Linked DNA regions of Saccharomyces cerevisiae S288C. The protein of the gene in region 1 binds, or shares a complex with, the protein of each later gene. Each region holds a gene or a part of one and is shown in the gene's direction. Other genes may lie near its edges.

What was found. Proteins that work in one complex are often made in the same cells at the same time.
Region 2: POP1 (region 1) and POP5 share a complex: the UniProt entries of both Saccharomyces cerevisiae proteins name them as parts of the nuclear RNase P and RNase MRP complex.
Region 3: POP1 (region 1) and POP4 share a complex: the UniProt entries of both Saccharomyces cerevisiae proteins name them as parts of the nuclear RNase P and RNase MRP complex.

Annotation. Positions count from the first base shown.
Region 1 is NC_001146.8:226,471-235,605, reverse strand, and holds POP1 (ribonuclease P/MRP protein subunit POP1), read left to right. Parts: upstream 1-1,910; coding exon 1,911-4,538; downstream 4,539-9,135. Other genes in the region: ADE12 (adenylosuccinate synthase), read right to left, coding at 1-1,193; SSU72 (RNA polymerase II subunit A C-terminal domain phosphatase), read right to left, coding at 5,892-6,512; cysteine protease ATG4, read right to left, coding at 6,752-8,236; SQS1 (Sqs1p), read left to right, coding at 8,507-9,135. UniProt on the Saccharomyces cerevisiae protein: Required for processing of 5.8S rRNA (short form) at site A3 and for 5' and 3' processing of pre-tRNA.
Region 2 is NC_001133.9:81,186-85,775, forward strand, and holds POP5 (RNA-binding protein POP5), read left to right. Parts: upstream 1-1,520; coding exon 1,521-2,042; downstream 2,043-4,590. Other genes in the region: FUN19 (Fun19p), read right to left, coding at 1-766; mRNA splicing protein PRP45, read right to left, coding at 2,150-3,289; protein phosphatase regulator GIP4, read right to left, coding at 3,564-4,590. UniProt on the Saccharomyces cerevisiae protein: Component of ribonuclease P, a protein complex that generates mature tRNA molecules by cleaving their 5'-ends. Also a component of RNase MRP, which cleaves pre-rRNA sequences.
Region 3 is NC_001134.8:727,378-732,272, forward strand, and holds POP4 (RNase P/RNase MRP complex subunit), read left to right. Parts: upstream 1-1,507; coding exon 1,508-2,347; downstream 2,348-4,895. Other genes in the region: RIB5 (riboflavin synthase), read right to left, coding at 9-725; SHG1 (Shg1p), read right to left, coding at 2,357-2,785; YBR259W (uncharacterized protein), read left to right, coding at 3,010-4,895. UniProt on the Saccharomyces cerevisiae protein: Required for 5.8S rRNA and tRNA processing; associated with RNase MRP and RNase P.

The DNA of each region.
Region 1 (9,135 bases):
TCCGGCAAATCTTCATACTTTGTAATTTTGGTAATATCTTGATCCCAACCTGGCAAAACTTTGTATTCAACTTCAACTTTACCAAGAATATTCAAGTCTTCAGGGAACAAATCTAGCTTCTTACCTTGAATAGAATATGAAATACCCACTGGGATTTCTTTGAAAGTATCGAGGACGTCTAACTTGGTAATGTTCAAACTCGTGTATCCATTGATCAAAGTTGAGTATTTCAAGACTACCAAGTCTAACCAACCGCAACGACGCTTACGACCAGTAGTGACACCAAATTCAGCACCAATGGTCTGCAGTTTTTCTCCATTTTCGTTCAATTGTTCCGTTGGGAAAGGACCTTCACCAACTCTAGTTGTGTAGGCTTTAACAACACCATAAATTTCATCAATAGTACGTGGAGGAATACCTAAACCGGTGAGGACACCACCAATACCAGTATTGGAAGAAGTCACATATGGATAAGTACCAAAATCAATATCCAACATCAAAGCATTAGCACCCTCAACCAATATCTTTTTCTTTGCTTCAATAGCATTGTGCATGAAAACGACAGAATCGACGACGAATGGCTTTAGTTGCTCTCTTAACTTCTTGTATTCAGCAAGCTTGGCTTCAAAGTCGTATTCGAAATCACCGTATCTTTGTCTTCTCGTTTCCAATAATCTCTTATATCTAGCAACAAATTCCTCCCAGGCACCGGGTTGATCATTCACCAAATGATGAACTCTCAAACCAGATCTAGAAGCCTTTGTGGAATAAGTTGGACCAATACCTTTACCGGTAGTACCGATATTTTTACCATCTTTAGAACGACCTGATAACTCCAATTCTCTTAGCTTGTCAGTCACCTGATGAAAGTCAAAGACTAAATGTGCTCTGGAAGAAACAAATAATCTACTCCTTGCGTTCTTCAAACCTTTAGCTTCCAAGGTTTCCAACTCTTTGAAAAAAGATGGAACATGAATAACAACACCATTACCCAAAAGGTTTTGGCAGTTTGGGTTGACTAAACCAGATGGTAACATATGGAAATCATACTTAACACCGTCTACAACAATGGTATGCCCGGCATTGTTACCACCGGCGCAACGGGCTACAATATCATATTTACCAACCAGTAAATCAACTAGTTTACCTTTACCCTCATCACCCCATTGGGAGCCCAATACAACGTTAACCATTCTGATATGCTTTAAATTTAGTAATGTTACGATTTCCCCTACCTTATCCAACGAAAAGCTTAATATTTACTCGGTCGAGGTAAGCTTCTACAATCGTTTCTTTTATAAGGCAAGTTAAGAAATAAAGAGAAAGTCAAAAAAGAAAAGACTAGTAAGAAAAAGAAATTACTTTTTTAGAAATAATGTTTACTTATTATTATTTACTTTGTTAATCTGTGACTCAATGAAAAGGATCGCGATCAGTAAATGTAAAATCGAGATTATTTAAATACAATTTTTTTCCGTATCTGGATTCACAGGAACAGGTAAGTGGGACATGTTTTCCCGACGATTTGGTCACGAGAGCGAATTGAATGGGACTAATCTCACCATCCGATTCTCTGGGGTTGCGGTAATTGCTGATTCCTTTAAGTTTACAGATTTATTAATTGGTTGCAAAGTAAATTACTATTGACTCTACCGGCCATAAGGAAGGTAGATTGACTTCTTTGCTGGTCATTTTTTCATATGTGATGTGCACGTGACATTGCACCCGGGTAAGAGGGTAACACTGTGGGAAAACTTTTCAGTGAAATTCGCATTAGAAGAAAGCAGATCTGAATTCGATGAGATTCTCGGAACGGTGGCATGTCTTTGAAGAACGGGGATACTTATTGAGCAGCCTGCCACTTGAACATTTGGCAAGAAAGGTGAGAATTGACCTCATTATAATTACAAATGAGCGGGAGTTTGTCTAGAGGAAATGGTGGAAAGAAAGTTCTTAATAAGAATCAATTACTGAAGCGAAATCGCATAAGAAATGCTAGATCAATTAGAGCAGAGGCCGTGGCCGCTTCATCAACAAAAACTGGGACACCGAGTGATCTGAGTGAATCGGGAAGTAAGCTAAACGTGGACCAATTCATTAGTTCTCGACAATTCGAGGTTAAGCAGTTGCAATTGGCCATGCATAATTCCAAAGCAGCCAGCTCAACGAGAATATTTCAGGCATTGCCTCGAAAATTGCGTCGTAGAACGGCTTCGCATAATGTTCGTAGAATTCCAAAAAGAATGCGCAATAGAGCTTTGAGGGAAATGCGTAAAAGTGATCAGCAGGATGTGTTGAAGGGGTCTTCAGCCTCTTCCAGAAAAGCTCATGGCCTAAATGCAAAGCAACTTTATAAAGCTAGAATGTCCATAAAGCTGCTACGATTGGCTAGCAAATCTACTTCTATGAAACTCAGCATGCCACCAGAGGTTACATCATCTAACTGCCACGTAAGGCAGAAAATCAAGACATTAAAGCGAATGATTAAAGAATCATCAACAGCAAATCCAAATATAAAGTTACTTAATAATCGTATGGGGAGCTATGATTGCACTGGTGTCAATGAATTAGCACCTATTCCCAAGGGCAGGGTCAAATATACGAAGAGACAGAAGCACTTTGCTTGGCTACCCACCCACATTTGGAATGCTAAAAGGTCGCACATGATGAAAAGATGGGGATATCAAATGGTATGGGCACCTACTCAAAAATGCTTTAAATTGACGCATAGGTTGGGCGGTGATACCTGCAGCTCCGATGGGGCCTTATGCATGGATTCAAGTTATATTGGTACAATAATTGTAAAAGACAAAAGCAATGACAGTGAGGGGGACTTTTTAAAATCCATTATAGGAAAGTTAACAGCTGAAAGAGCAAACTTAAGGAAATATCGCGAAGGCCAGGTTTTATTCCAAGGGTTAATTTATAGTTTCAATGAAGAAAACGGTGAGGATTCTACTAAGCCACTGGGTCCATGCGACGTATTTTGGGTACAAAAGGATACTGCAATTATAAGGTTACACCCTTCAATTTATACTCAGGTTTTTAACATTCTTTTGCAACATAAGGAAAAACTAACAGTACAAGATTGTCGATATTCATTAGCAAGCGTGACATTGAAGGGAGCTAAAGCTCTAGAGTCATTAGCATCGTGTTTAAGGAGCACAGAGTACTCTAAATCGTTTGAACAATTTAAAATGGTTTCAATGATTACCGATCATAATGCCCTACCACAGAGGTGTACGTTTGCATTTGAAGCCATAGATCCGCGTCATCTAGCTGCTCCAAAGAAATTAAATGATTCACAGAGGAAGACTGTTAATTCTGACGACATTTTATCACTGCATGAAAACTATCCTCAAGACGAAATAAACGCCGTTTTTAACGAATTATGTGACCCTGAATCACGTACTCAATCATACAACAACCAAAACACATTAAAAGAAATTTCTGCGAGACGTTACAAATTGCTAACTGCCACACCGAACAGCATCAATAAAACTACAGTCCCGTTCAAAGAAAGTGACGATCCTTCTATTCCATTAGTCATAATAAGAAGGCTCAAGACCAGGGATTGGATTGTTGTGTTACCATGGTTCTGGCTGCTACCGTTATGGCATCTACTGAACCGGATACCAAGGATGTATCACATTGGCCTCAGGCAATTCCAGCAAATTCAGTACGAGAATAAGCAATTATATTTTCCGGATGATTATCCATTCACTCAATTGGGTTATATAGAAAACTCATTTTATAAAAAGGAGGCCTCCAAGACGAAGTGGGATAGGAAGCCAATGGGAAAAAGGATTAATTTCGAGAAGATCAAAGACATCCATAACACTAAATTACCGGCATATAGCGGAGAAATCGGCGATTTTTTCAGTTCAGACTGGAGATTTTTACAAATACTGAGAAATGGAATTGATTATTTACAGCGGAATGATAAAACCTTAGAACTGATGGACAGTAAGAAGACCGGGCAATTTAACGCTCAGGGTGTAAGAGACATCAACTGTGTAAATGATGTTTTGGAGTTTTGCAAAGATTATGAAGCCAAGACCAAGGCTATGTCGTTGTCGATTGAAGAGAACATACCAGTTGCATTGTGTAAAAATCGGAAATGTCAATTTCGCACTCCTGATAGCATTAGCGTCAATAGTTCTTCATTCTCCCTTACATTCTTCCCACGTTGTATCATTGCTGTATCTTGCACACTACTCGAACGAGGTCACCCAAAGGACAATGCAAGAATATATCAAGTTCCAGAAAAGGACTTAGAGCATTGGCTACAATTGGCAAAAGGGGTTTACCGCCCAAACGGAAGAAAAGATCATGATTTGAAAATTCCACTTCCAGAGGTACATGATTTGATTGGTTTTATTACCAGCGGCACCTACCACTTAAATTGTGGAAATGGTATGGGAATCGGATTTATAGATCATCATGCGGCCATCCGGCAACCAACTAGGTATGTACTGATCAGAAATGTAGGTACCAACACTTATAGGTTGGGGGAGTGGTCGAAAATATCCGTATAATGAACTGAACTGAATTATATGTACGACCGATATCCTATAAAGCTATGTATACAGAGGGCAAATAGCAATCATATCGCGCAATAATGGTCTTTTTGCTTCCTGGAACTCTATACGTACACATTTAGAGATTGAAAGTGGCAACAAATCTTATTATATGTTAATTTAAATACGGTGATCTACGCTGCCATCATAGGGCTCATTGATTCATTCCCTAGCTCTTGAAAATGTCAATGAAATTATTACCCGTCTTTGCACCTTTTTTTTTTCTAAGGCGACGAGTTTTCCATTGGCAAGACGTATAAATAGAGAGAAGAAGTTCCATTTAATAGAACTATTTTACAAACATACTTTTAGCGTTAAAATATAGTTTTTTCTTGAATTTTTTTAAAATCCTCATACTTACCTTAAGATATCAGAGGAGATCAAGAAGTCCTACTGATCAAACATGCGCTTCCAATAGTAGAAGGACGTTAAGCATTTATCATTGAACTATAATTGTTCATTGAAGTCATTGATGCAAACTCCTTGGTCACACACACATACGGCGCGGAAGGCGTGTTTGCTGACGTTTCCATTCCCTTGTTTCAATCATTGGTTAATCCCTTGATTCCTTTGGGGATTTTTGGGTTAAACTGATTTTTGGGGCCCTTTGTTTCTTCTGCCTGGAGAAGTTTGACACCAAATTCAAATTGGTGTTAGGGGAGCTGGGGCCTTTCAAAAGAGAGCTTTGTAGAGGCATTCTTTTTGACTACTTTTCTCTAGCGTGCCATTTTAGTTTTTGACGGCAGATTCGAATGAACTTAAGTTTATGATGAAGGTATGGCTGTTGAGATTATTTGGTCGGGATTGTAGTTTGAAGATGTGCTCTTTTGAGCAGTCTCAACTTTGCTCGTTCCCGTTATGGGAAAAATTTTGGAAGGTCTTGGTAGGAACGGGTGGATCTTATAATTTTTGATTTATTTTCAGAAATAAATGGAACATTTTTCTATTTATTTCTTTCTTAAAGTACTGAAACTTTTAAAGTTTCATGCTTCTATTTTCTTCATTTCAGTCCTATATCTGGTGATGTGTTTTGGAATGAAACCTGTTATACGCTACATTGAGACAAGACATTGTCCAGCTTACTAAAAATACAGTGTGTTGTATATCAAGCTTCTTGATAAAAAAATAGCTATGTGGACAACAAGCAAATAATGTGCTTAAGAGAGCCGCAACAAGAAACGTAATATTATATAATGAATATAACTAGGAAGCTATCGAAGACTTGTGAAAGTATTGAAATTTCACGGATAATGTAGGATTCATGAGGGCCGCTTAATGCTTATGCTTTTCTACAGTAATTGACCGTTTTGTTTAGTAATATGAAGGAGCGTATAATGACGGTAGTTGAGAATGTGAGCTTTGCCACTCAGTTAAAATGTCCATTATACAATCTTCAAAGGGAATGTCATCTTTTTCACATTGTTCTATTTTATCATTGAGCATATCAGCTAATTCCAATATAGCTTTGCTACCAATTTTAGCATTTTCATCATCATCTTTAATGTCAACATTAATTACATGCACTATTTTGTTTAATTTCCCACCTCTATTCATCAAATCTTCACAAACGGCATCAAAACATCTCTCTTCACAAGTGAAAACGAAGTCGAAGACTTTTGTACTTTCTTGCCATTTTTCAGGTGCTTTTTTGAGTCTTCTATTACGATCCAGCATTTGCAATAAACCGTTCGACTTGTAACGGTCTGCTGATTGTGATAAAAGATCATTATATATATCATTATAGGGTGTACCAAATGAGTACACATTAGGCTTATCTATCGATAGACCAGGCAGTCTCACAGCTGAACCTGTTCCGTAAGAGCTAACATTATAGCCTGCTTCTTGCAGGACTTTATGCGATTCCATTGAACGATTGTTGTTTGATGCACAAACTGTGCAAAACTTCAAGTTTGAATTGCGATGACTAGGCATTTTGGACTTCGACACTAGTTTATACCACCGTTGTCTTAATCTTCTTACAGGTGGTCTTTAATTCGTGCCGACTGGCCTTTTTCTTTATTATCTTTCGTTTTTTAAGTTCTTTCCACTGCCGCAGACGAAAAATACGTAAAGGATGATCAAACGAATAAGAACAAAAGAACTGGATACCTCAGTTTTAGGGAATATATTAAAACAAGTATATATGCTTATGAACTAGTGAATTCCTTACACTAGCATTTTTCATCAATAGGACTGTGAATACCTACCGTTTCCTTCTCTACAAGGACGCCTTCTACTTCATAATCTGTTAAATTCGCATTAACAGTGTGTGTGTTTCCCATAACAACAATCTTCTGTTTCTTGCAATGAATATCTTGAAAACAATCATATTCGTCTACATCTTCTGTATTTGTTGTGTGTGGGAATATTGCACCAATATCTACGTAGTCTCCCTCTAGTACTCCGAGATTTTCATTATTGCTTGCATCTTTCTTCATTGAGTTAGAACTTACACTTTCCACGTCATCCATACTACAACTCACATCAAAGTCATCCATTCTCTTAGCAAGAACATTGATAATAGCAGATTCTGCAACTTCTAGCTTCCATTGTTGCCAGTCTTTTTCGCCCTTAATCAAAATACCAATGAGCATCGAGGGATCCATTTCCGATAGTTGCAATTTACCAAATTTACTGGTATGGCACGACTCTACAAATGAATCTTCTACTGCCGGTTGAGGAATATGAGGATCGAAATGTAAAAATTCATTTCCTTGATAACCAAAAAAATACAACGATGAAGACGGCCTACCGCCGGCAATGCCTACTGACTGTGTTGAACTTAAGATACCACATATACTTTCTCTATAGCTCTCATTTACCGCATTAATCCCGAGCTTCACGCCCAACAAGAACAATATTCTACTATTTGGATTCTCAGCAAATACTTTTTCAACTTCATTTTCATAGATATCGCCGGATGAAACAGATACTATACAATCATCGATGCCACATTCGGGGAAGCCATATATTAAAGATTGTATACTCCTTGCCGTAGCTGCGGGACCAAACCATTCACCTGGTCTTTTATCAGAGAGTTCTGTACCTGCAGAAACAAAGTTATGTAACGAAAATGGAGCCTCAGGCGTGTCATTAAACCAATTTACAAATTTTGATTCTCTTTCCAGACTTTCGTTACCATTTACCCTGAAATCTCTGCCCAAATGAAGGATTTGTAAGGCATTCCCCAACAAACTTTGTCCTGTCCTTATCATACACCCCCACCCAATATCAGTGTTAAAGCAATCAGGATTTGCTATATAGTCCTCTATTGTACTGATCGGATTTGTACGTACTAATAAATTTAGACTTAAAGGTGAAGGCCCATCTGGCGCCCTTGCTATAGGAACAAATCTTGTCCGATATGTAAAGTTGACCCTTGATTGTACATCCAAAAGAAATTCCTTTGTGTAAGAAGAAATTTCCCTACCAAAAAGAGAGCTTAAAAACCCGTCACTAACCGCTTCACCGCGATATCGACAGTCTTGTTCACATTGTTCAGCGCCAGATTCTTCGTCTCGCTCAGGATATACTTCCCCTAATACTATATAATCATGATTCATAAGAGCAGCCGGTTCTTCGGACGAGCCTTCAAAAACGCCATGAGACACTTTTTGTACCAAATCCATTTTCCACAGTTGTAGCCACCTCTGCATGTATATCACTCCTATACGTGATAAGAAGTCGTCCATTCTTCATCTACTAACGTTATTGTGTGTATATTTTTACTTTTTTCCTTTGAGGCGCTATTGTTGGCAGCTGCAACGGTCACCGCCTAAAGAATAAAAGTGAAATTTGACATTTTACAATTAAATAAGATCTGAACAAAACAACAACAATTAGGCCTGCGCAGAGTTTCTAGAAGGAAGAAGTGATTTAATCGCAGAGTCAAATATAAGCATAAATTGTTGTAACCGTCAAAAAAAATGGCAAAAAGGCATAGTCATTATCAAGGAAGCAGACGTAGGCATGCACGTGGTAGCAATTCCAAGAAAGCTGGCAGGGGGAATGCTAAAGGCATACAAGGCAGAAAGATAAAGAAAAAACCTACTCCCACTAACAGTTGGCATAACTCTTCTATACCACTAGGAGAAGGTGATCTTGATGATGTAGGCGCCGACTTCAACCCAGGAAGAGCATTCATATCACCAAAAACTATAGAAGACTATTATTTTGGTCGCGATGCCAAGAGCCGTTCTATGAAAATGGGTGGTTTAAGACCAGGTAATCGATATGATTCTTCAACTGACCTACAAGCAGGAAGGGCAGCATTCCGCAAAAGACCTATGCAATTTGTAAAAGCTAAGGAAGTTTACGATCCATCCCACAATATGATTCAAAAACTGAGAGCAAAGAACGAAACAAAGAACAGTGAAGAAATTGTCGAAAGGGAAGCAGACGTTTTTGAAGAACCAGGAAAGATGACTTCTGATGTTGAATATATTAACAATGAAGACAGTGAAAACGAGGATGATGATAGTCAGAATTCACCCTCGACGGACCACTCGCTGTCTTCGAATGAAAGCAAAGTTGAAGATGGTGACCTGTTTTTTGT
Region 2 (4,590 bases), on another chromosome or scaffold:
TCGTTCTTCTTTGTGGTGAGTATACCTTGCGTTTCCGTGGTATCCATTCAGTGTCGGATTCAAACTTTCCTAGATTGTTATTGTAGAGAGCCTGTTTCCTCATATTATATCTTGCTTGTCTATTCAAATTCGGAGATGCTAACGGGGAAGGTAATCTAGAAGAAGAGGAAGGCAGAGGAGGAGGAGTCATATCATCATTGTATTTGGAATATTTATGTCTAGCATTATAGGCCAGATTGTTGTACCGGTTGATAATGTTCTTAGAATATGGTTGGGCCAAATTGCTGAAAATTTTGTATTGAGACAGAAACCCGTAGGTGGCGTAGCGGTACCTTTTTCTTGATAACCCATTGGGCCATACAGGCTTCACGAACAGCACATTCTCTACAGCGCCTTTAGGCGTAGATCCCACTAGCACTGAAGAGGCCATGCGGGGTGAGCCATTGTGGCTAATTTTCGACTCCAGCTTGGGCGACAAAGGTGGCGATGGTATTATATGTTCATCAACCAAGGAGTCAATGCTGCCAGAAAAGCATCCATTGCCATTATTTTGTGAGTTCTGGTTAATTCTTACGTCGTACGAGCGCCCATAGGGTGAATTATTGCTATAATCACTCATGTTTAAACCGTTTTTATTACTATCGTTATTGTTGTTACTTGCTTTCAAATTCTGATTCAGACGTCTGAAAATGGACTGCGAATCATCCTTACCAATGTAATTCATATTTAATTGAGACTTTTCAGATTCAGGAGAATATAATCCCATGTTTCCCCTATAAATGTTACGATGCGCGAATATCCTGTTTATCGATGCCCAGTGTATGAGCCATAACGGGGATGTTATGAACCATGTGGCTACTTTTATAAGCGGTTCTCTTAGGAAGAAGGGGGTTCTTGATAGACCCCTGCACCTCATCTAGCGGAGGTGCACGGATGTACCAACAGTTTTAGTGAACATTATTCACTAAAGAAGCATTGGGCATACTCAGAGCCAATGGCAAGCTCGTTTACCAGTTCAAATATGTCGTTTCATTATCTGTATGACTGTCGTAACTTTGAATCGATCTAATGTGTTGACCCTGTCTCAGGCTCACCCATGGCGGCGCCTGCACCTGTGGGTGAAGGAAGAAAGACGATGTTTGTGAGGGAACTGAATTGGGTTGAAGTTCATATCCTAAACAAACACTTCACCAGCCATGGATGCATGCCTTGTCTTTTCGCAGTTGGTGGCATGAAAATATATATCACCCACCAAACCCTCTTACTCTTTTCTTACCAAGTAACTCCAGTAAGTGCTCGTTTTTTTCTTCTTCCATTCAAACCTGCTTAAAAACCTCGACAAACGAGCCCCCAACGTACTACCACAGCAACCACTCTGGTTTTTCTATCTTGTTGTCTTTAATTGCCTCCTGACTTTGTTTTGTTTTGTTCTTGCTTAGCGCTCTTGAAAAATATTTTACTTTTCACTATCAGATTAATGTGATAGCAATAGTTAGTGCAACAAAGAAACAAGTCGATAAATGGTACGTTTAAAAAGTAGATATATCCTTTTTGAAATTATATTCCCACCTACAGACACCAACGTTGAGGAATCTGTGTCGAAAGCAGACATCTTGCTTTCGCATCACAGAGCATCGCCTGCGGATGTGTCCATAAAGTCGATACTCCAAGAGATACGACGCTCGCTGTCGTTGAATCTGGGCGACTATGGGTCTGCAAAATGTAACTCTCTCTTGCAGTTGAAATACTTTTCAAATAAGACGTCTACGGGGATAATCCGATGCCATCGAGAGGATTGCGACCTTGTTATCATGGCATTGATGTTGATGTCGAAAATTGGCGACGTCGATGGACTGATCGTGAACCCCGTCAAGGTAAGTGGGACCATCAAGAAAATAGAGCAGTTTGCTATGAGAAGGAATTCTAAAATTCTGAACATAATCAAGTGTAGTCAATCATCACACCTCAGCGATAATGACTTTATTATCAATGATTTCAAGAAAATTGGAAGGGAAAACGAAAACGAAAACGAGGACGATTAGAATATATTAATATATAGATGTACACGTATATGCAGTAGTTTTATTTTTTTATCTATAATACAACTCAAGCACAAGAATGCTTTGTTTTCCTAGTGCTCATCCTGGGCCTAGGCGCCATAGTTATCCGATTTATCATCGGATTCAGCTTTAGTAAACTGAATGGGGCCGTGAGAACCACTGGCACCTTCACTCTTAACATTGACCGCTTCGTCCAGCTTTTCGTAGTTGGTCTTGTATATGCTTTCAATATCTTGTTGGACGAACAGTGGGTTGTCATAAACCTGGTCTTCATGCCTTTTGGCGGAGGCATTTGCCCCTCTTGTGAAAAATCTTGAATCGTACTGCAGATCCGGTTGTTCTGAACGCTTTGCTGCGCCCAGAATTATCTTTTCGGATACGTCTCTTCCTTGAGAGTACGCCAGCTCTTTTAGTCTGGCCACTGTGCTCGTTTGCTTTTTGGGCTTAACTATTGCTCCCGTCTGCGGAGTCCCGTTGTGGTATCTGGCTCGTTGGCTCAATTCTTTCAATTTAGATTCTTTAGCAAGCATTTCCTGTTCCATAGCAAGCCGCTTCAATTCCATTTTGGACCTGATCTCTTGTCTTGCCTTCTTGTCAGCGTTTTCTAACGCTTCGGAGAGCTTCATAAACCCATCGTTGATGGTATTATTTTCGTTGTCAAGAGCTTTACCTACACGTCTTTCCAAGGCCACGGTATAACCATTTGGATTTTTCCAGTTTGACACAGCTGCAGGTATCTTCCACTCATTTGGATCAGCTTCTCCCCTATCATTGCTGCCATCCATATGGAGAACAGGCACGACTTCGTCGTTTTCTGTGGGTGCTACAACCTTTCTCGCCTTCTTCCCAACGAACCTTGGCAACAATGGATCCATTTGCTTGGACACTACCTCAATATGGTGGCTGTTGTTCAATAATAGATTCGCGGGTGCCTGATGTGTTTCGGTGACGTACCTTGATGATGCCCTGTTATTTGAGTTGGCTAGTTTCGCATTCACAAGCCGCTGAATGTATGACTTGGTTCTTGCTGTACATTCTTGGATTTCTGCTTTCGTTGGCAAAGGAACCGATAGTTCGAAATTAGACTGTCTCTTTGGAATAAAATCATCGAGCTTAACGTTTTTAGCGATTTGGTCAGTCAATATTGCCGGCTCAACGCGATCTGAGCTCAAAGCCGTCGAAACTCGTCCTTGAGAATGTTTTGGAGGTGGTAGTCTGTTACTAAACATATTTGGTTGAGGTTGCTGATACGTCCTCTCGGCTCAGAGCTGCCATGTGTCAATAACCCCATAATTTGAACTTCTTTCATCAACTTTTTAGCTGGGGAAAAATCAAATTCGTGAAGAATTACAATAATACGTTAAGGTAAAAGATTAAATATTAAAAAATAGTATGAGTACTTTTGAATCATCAGACAAGAACAATGAAGGATATGAATAGTATTAGATATGTATTCTTTTTTTTTTCCAGGGACATAAAGAGTTGTTTTTATAAGGTGCGGAGTTATCTCAATTTGCTTCTGATTTTAGAAGCTATTCTATGCCCGGTCGACTCTTTGATTTCGATCCCAAACGGCATCATGGTAGTTTCGGAGCCAGATTCGCCATTTTCCCACTCTAATCCATCTCGAAGACTTTTTCGAAAGGTAAACCCTTCTTCTTGTCTCAGCGTGTTATATTTGGACTTATGCTGTAGCGGCTTGATCATTGCCGAAGCAGGTATTGGCGGATAATGTAGCACAGCCGGCTTCTTGTACCAACCCACCTTTGTTGGTTTAGGATTTTCTGCCTCTGTCATTGGCGGTACACCAGCAAATCTCACCCTTTTGATGGACAATTCACTGGAGTTTGACTCCGGATCTAGAGTTAATGTCTCTATAGCCAAAGTATCACTACTATTGGCAATCAGGGTACTTGATGATTTTCCTGAGGAGGTGTTGTTTATACTGGATACTTTTGGTGAAGGCGCTAACGATGAAGATGCAGAAGGATTGGGTGTAGATGCACTTTTGTTCATCAAATGCCGCACTGTATCTTGGACGATTTTTTGATTTAACGTCATGGTTGAGGACTGCAAAGAATTGGACCTTTGATTGTTGAGCTTTGAAGGTGGAGCTATTGACGGATGTCTTGTAGAATTCAAATATGAGGTTTGTTGTTTGTTTGTATAGGATTGCAAAGATGAGGATCTAGGCCTTCTGCCGTTGATCAGTTTTCTTTTCTCCGGAGACACCACGCTTTTCTTCGTTTCTGCGTTTTTATTGTTGAAAGTGGTCCTTACAGGCGATACTGAGGGAGACCTAGAAGAATTTGAGGCTAAATGCGCCCTTGCCCTTGTTCTTATGCTCTCTAAAGAGGCCTGTCTTGATGGGCTTGCTGAAGATGTGGGTGAGGGGGATGGAGAAGAAGAGGCTGGCAGCTTTGTTATTGACGGCTTCTTCTTTAGCTTACTTTTCGCGTTTTTAACCTCTAAATACAGAGCCTTATCTCTTTCTAGCTTTTCTTTCAAATTCTCCCGCAAGTCATTGGTT
Region 3 (4,895 bases), on another chromosome or scaffold:
TTTTTTATTTATTTATTTAGGTAGTTTCTAACCTTCTCCTCGATAATGTTTGAGATCATAGTATTCAAAGTACTATCTTTCTTTGATATTTGGTTTTCCAACGTTAATAGAATTTGCTTCTCAATAATCTTCCCAGTCAAATCTACTTCAATATTAACCTCGTCGCCAATTTTCTTCAAAGGCATGATAACATTGTCTTGGGTGTGCTTTATCATACTAATATAGAAGGCTCCACCTTGCGAAAGTGGGTCAACCTTGATTATGGTCAAGGAAGTTCCATCTATACAAATGAATCCCTTTTCTACTATGTATTTAAAGTACTCTTGATCTCTTAACTGAAACCCAAAAATAATTGAATTCCCCTCAGGTCTTCTTGAGACAATATTAGCAACAGTGTCTACGTGACCCTGTACATAATGACCACCGAACCTAACGTCTTGAGATACCGCTCTCTCCAAGTTGACCTGGGTGCCTTGAATCCAGGAAGCGACATTACTTCGTTTTATAGTTTCTGGTGATATCCCAACTTTGAAGGAGTCGTTATTAAACTCGGTCACAGTAAGGCATACCCCATTTACGGCTATTGAATCTCCAACGTGACAATCGGTGAGAATACTCCCCGCATTGCCAATAGTAATAGAAACTCCTTGACCTCCACTTTCAGAGTCATCATATGGGTTGTTTTCCAAAACAGTCCCCATGCATTCTACAATACCAGTAAACATTGTGCTATGGTTACGATCTCACCAATTGGTTTGACATGTACGTTAGGAAGTACCGTCTTTTTATATCATTTGGATGGATCTGGAATATGACTAATAGATAGTTCAATAACCTTCCTCCATGGAAATTACCGAAAAAAAAGAAAAGGACGGAATTGGTACCCGGAGAGTACTTGGGCGGCTACTTTAGTTTTATATAAACCAATATCGAAGACAGTGATCTTTTTACAGCGAGCTTGAACACAAAATAACTACCGGGGGTAATCGTTCCCACAGAGGCAACATTAATGAATCCTGGGTTAACATTAATACCTACGCGACAAAAATCAATAAAAGAGATTGCTAGCCATAAATGAAAAAAGAGGAAAAAACATGCAGATTGTTTTTGAGCTTTTATGTCATAACAGGTGTATTTATAGCAGTATGAATAGTTTTACTAGCCAATATTCATTTTTTTTGAATCGATGTAAAATTTTTGGATACAAGAAAAATTGCACAATGTTAAATTTCTACAGAAAGCTCATGCAAAGGATGGAAAACTGAGCATTACTGGCAGCTTTGTGGGGTAGTTAAAGAAGTTTATTCTCCGTGGTTGCAGCTGTGGTGGTCTTTTTACTGCCTTTATATCCCAATTCATCCGCTTTTTACCCGGTCCGTTGATTTGAGAAAAAAAATGGTACTCAAAATAGTATGGCAAATATACTCGATGACATGAATAAGCGGAGAGCAATAATCTGTAAAGACTAAAGAAAATAAGCACGATTTGGACTCCCCTATTTGTCAGAATGGATAGAACTCAAACGTTTATTAAAGACTGTCTTTTCACGAAATGCCTGGAGGACCCTGAAAAGCCCTTTAATGAAAATAGATTTCAAGATACGTTGTTGCTACTGCCAACTGATGGCGGATTGACTTCAAGGCTTCAGAGACAGCAAAGAAAATCAAAGCTAAATCTTGACAATTTACAAAAGGTCTCCCAGTTAGAGAGTGCAGACAAACAGTTGGAAAAAAGAGATTACCAAAGAATCAACAAGAACTCTAAAATCGCATTAAGAGAGTACATCAATAATTGTAAAAAAAATACAAAAAAATGTCTGAAATTGGCATACGAAAATAAAATTACTGATAAGGAAGACCTTTTACACTACATAGAGGAGAAGCATCCAACGATATACGAATCATTACCGCAGTACGTTGATTTTGTACCGATGTATAAGGAACTATGGATTAACTATATTAAAGAACTTTTGAACATTACAAAAAACTTAAAAACATTCAATGGATCATTAGCATTATTAAAACTATCTATGGCAGACTATAATGGTGCGCTGTTACGCGTTACAAAGAGCAAAAATAAGACTTTAATAGGCCTTCAAGGCATTGTGATCTGGGACTCTCAGAAATTTTTTATCATGATTGTCAAGGGCAATATAATAGACGAAATAAAATGCATTCCAAAAAAGGGCACAGTATTTCAATTTGAAATCCCAATATCAGATGACGACGATTCGGCATTGAGATATAGTATACTAGGCGATAGGTTCAAGTACAGAAGTGTGGATCGTGCAGGCAGGAAGTTCAAAAGTCGTCGTTGTGATGATATGCTATATTATATACAGAATTAGTAAGAGTTATTACGTACTTCCATTTGCTTCCTCTTCATAAGAGTTCAGTGTTTCCTGAAGTTGTCCCTTTATCATTTCCAATAGTTTGGGATCCTGTAACTTAGACCGTACATAGACATCCAAGTCAAATTTCTTCTCACCATCACCATTATCCCCCTCCATTTTACTACCCAGCTTTAGGTAGTTGTCCTTGACCAATTGTGATTCAATCAATGCACTGGTTAGCCCTCTGTTTTTAAATATTAATTCTTCATCTTCGTTAACCATTTCTTTAACAGTACTGGCAACTCTTTTCCGAAGCGCTTGTTCAAAAGATTCACTATTCTCTTCTGTATTATTCCATGGGTTAGACAATATTTCTCTTTTCAACTTGTCAAAATGTCCCTCCTTCTTATACTTGTCTGATAGTCTTTTACTATCTTCTTGATTATACGCCATTTTTTGGATTTGAAATAAGCTCTACTCTCTTATACTGTGTTTCAGCTTCGCTAAATAAAGAACTGATTTTCTTACGTATTATTTCTCTAGTATCTCTCGTTTTCAAGATATAGAAAAATAAGACAAAAAAAAAGGCCATCATATTTATACAACGAAAAGTGTTTAATATGGAAGCAGCAAGCGGTATATGAACTCAGTTTTAAGGTGTAGTTTATTTTATAGTCATGTCCATTGACGAGGCTGTTGCCAGATATAGAGATGTTATAGGCAATCTAGCAACTGGCAATTTAAGGCGGATTGTTATACAGTCAGAAAAACTGGCCCAGATCATTGCATCTTCAAAAGGTACCGTTCGTTTCCACCATAAAACTCGCAGCGGTAAAACAGTAATATACAAATGCATCAAAAAGGCGCTGCTTTCCAGTGTCGCGTCTCTATCGTCAGAGTTTTCCTCAGAAACAGATGTTCAGCAATTCCTCCATTTAAATTACATATATCAATCTCACTTCCAAGCTTTGAGTGGACAAATAAACAAATATTGCGGCATGAAGAAATACTACGAGTTAAAGTTTGCAGCAATCGACTACTTAGAAACCGAAGTCCAAACTACCGGGCTTACACTCTCAAGATTCTGGGTGGCATCTTTAGATGAGTTCATTAAAAAAGAGCGATGGCCAGATAATGGATCTAACTTTCAAATCTTTTACAAACTAATGGCTGAGTATTCGTCTTGGAAATGGGATTCTGATGATAAAAGGCAACTCCAGTTCATGTACGAATTTCGAATGAAACTCAAAGAATGTTTGGTGAAATTTTACGAGAATTTTGATCTTCAAAAATCTAGCGATCCTCTGAAAGAACTCATTATACCTTGGGAAAAGATTGTTTATGTCGCCAACTGTATCGATGCATTCACTGGAGAGCAAGTTAGGATCGACGGTGCTGAATTAATCTGGACATCCAAAAATCTTGTGTTCTCTTCGATTTCTTCTGCCGTTCTTAGATTAAATGACCTTCAAAATATGTTCAGCGCATTCCGGCCTTATGGGGAAGAAGCATTAGTTCAAGACTTTGCGCATATACGATCTTTAAAGTGGGATAGTAATGATAAAGTTGAAAGCTTAATTCGTGCCCTTATTTTTAATGATATGTTTCCTTATTTCAATAAGGAACAGGTAGATACGAAGGCAGATGGTATATTCTTTTTGCGCTTACTGAGAAAAAACTTCAAAGAACACATTAATGACGTTAAAGATTTTCATATTCAAGTGATAAAGTACTTGAATTCCCAATTTAAAAATAATTACAGCACATTGATGACGTCATCGAAAACTCAGGATAGAAGGAAAAGTCATAATATGCCTTCTTCTATCTTAGACGATGGTAACAAAATTGGAATGCATGTTTCGCCTATCGATGAATACTCACATTTTATTGATAATGATGAACCGTTGTGGCGAGACAAAGTATATCCAAAGATTTACACAAATGAGCAAACACCTACACCTGACGCATCAGCAATATTTGATTCTCACAAGATATATGCAATTATATCGCTGCTGCGATATTACTTACCTGAGAAGAGAAAGTTTTTTCGGATTTATTATCTGCCCAGTATTTTTAAAAGGATATTATATTACGGTGCAAAGTTTGCTCAACTATATTTCATGGAAGGTTGCTTGGAACGGCTAGTAATAGAATCTCTCCAAATTCTAGAACCCTCTTTGGTACATGCGATAAATAATTTGATCAAGTCTAGCATAGAATCACTCAAAAATGTAACAGTGACAAGTGATGACAAAACTTCATCTGGTGTCATTATTTTGTCCTACAAAGAATTTAAGTCACTATCTGAAGTTAACAAAGATTTCAATGAACCATTTTGGCCTAACCAATCAATTGCGAATAGTTGGCCAGATTTCGCGAATAAGCAATTAAAGAGGGGTCAAATTTTGCAAGACGCATTTGCATTCCACCTTTTTGAAATTGAACTACCAATTATTATCGATACTACAAGAAATACGCATTTGAAACTCGTTTCCAACATGTGTACTACGAGCATATTGTACTTATATAATGAAGTTGATTCCTTATCATTAACTAGCATACA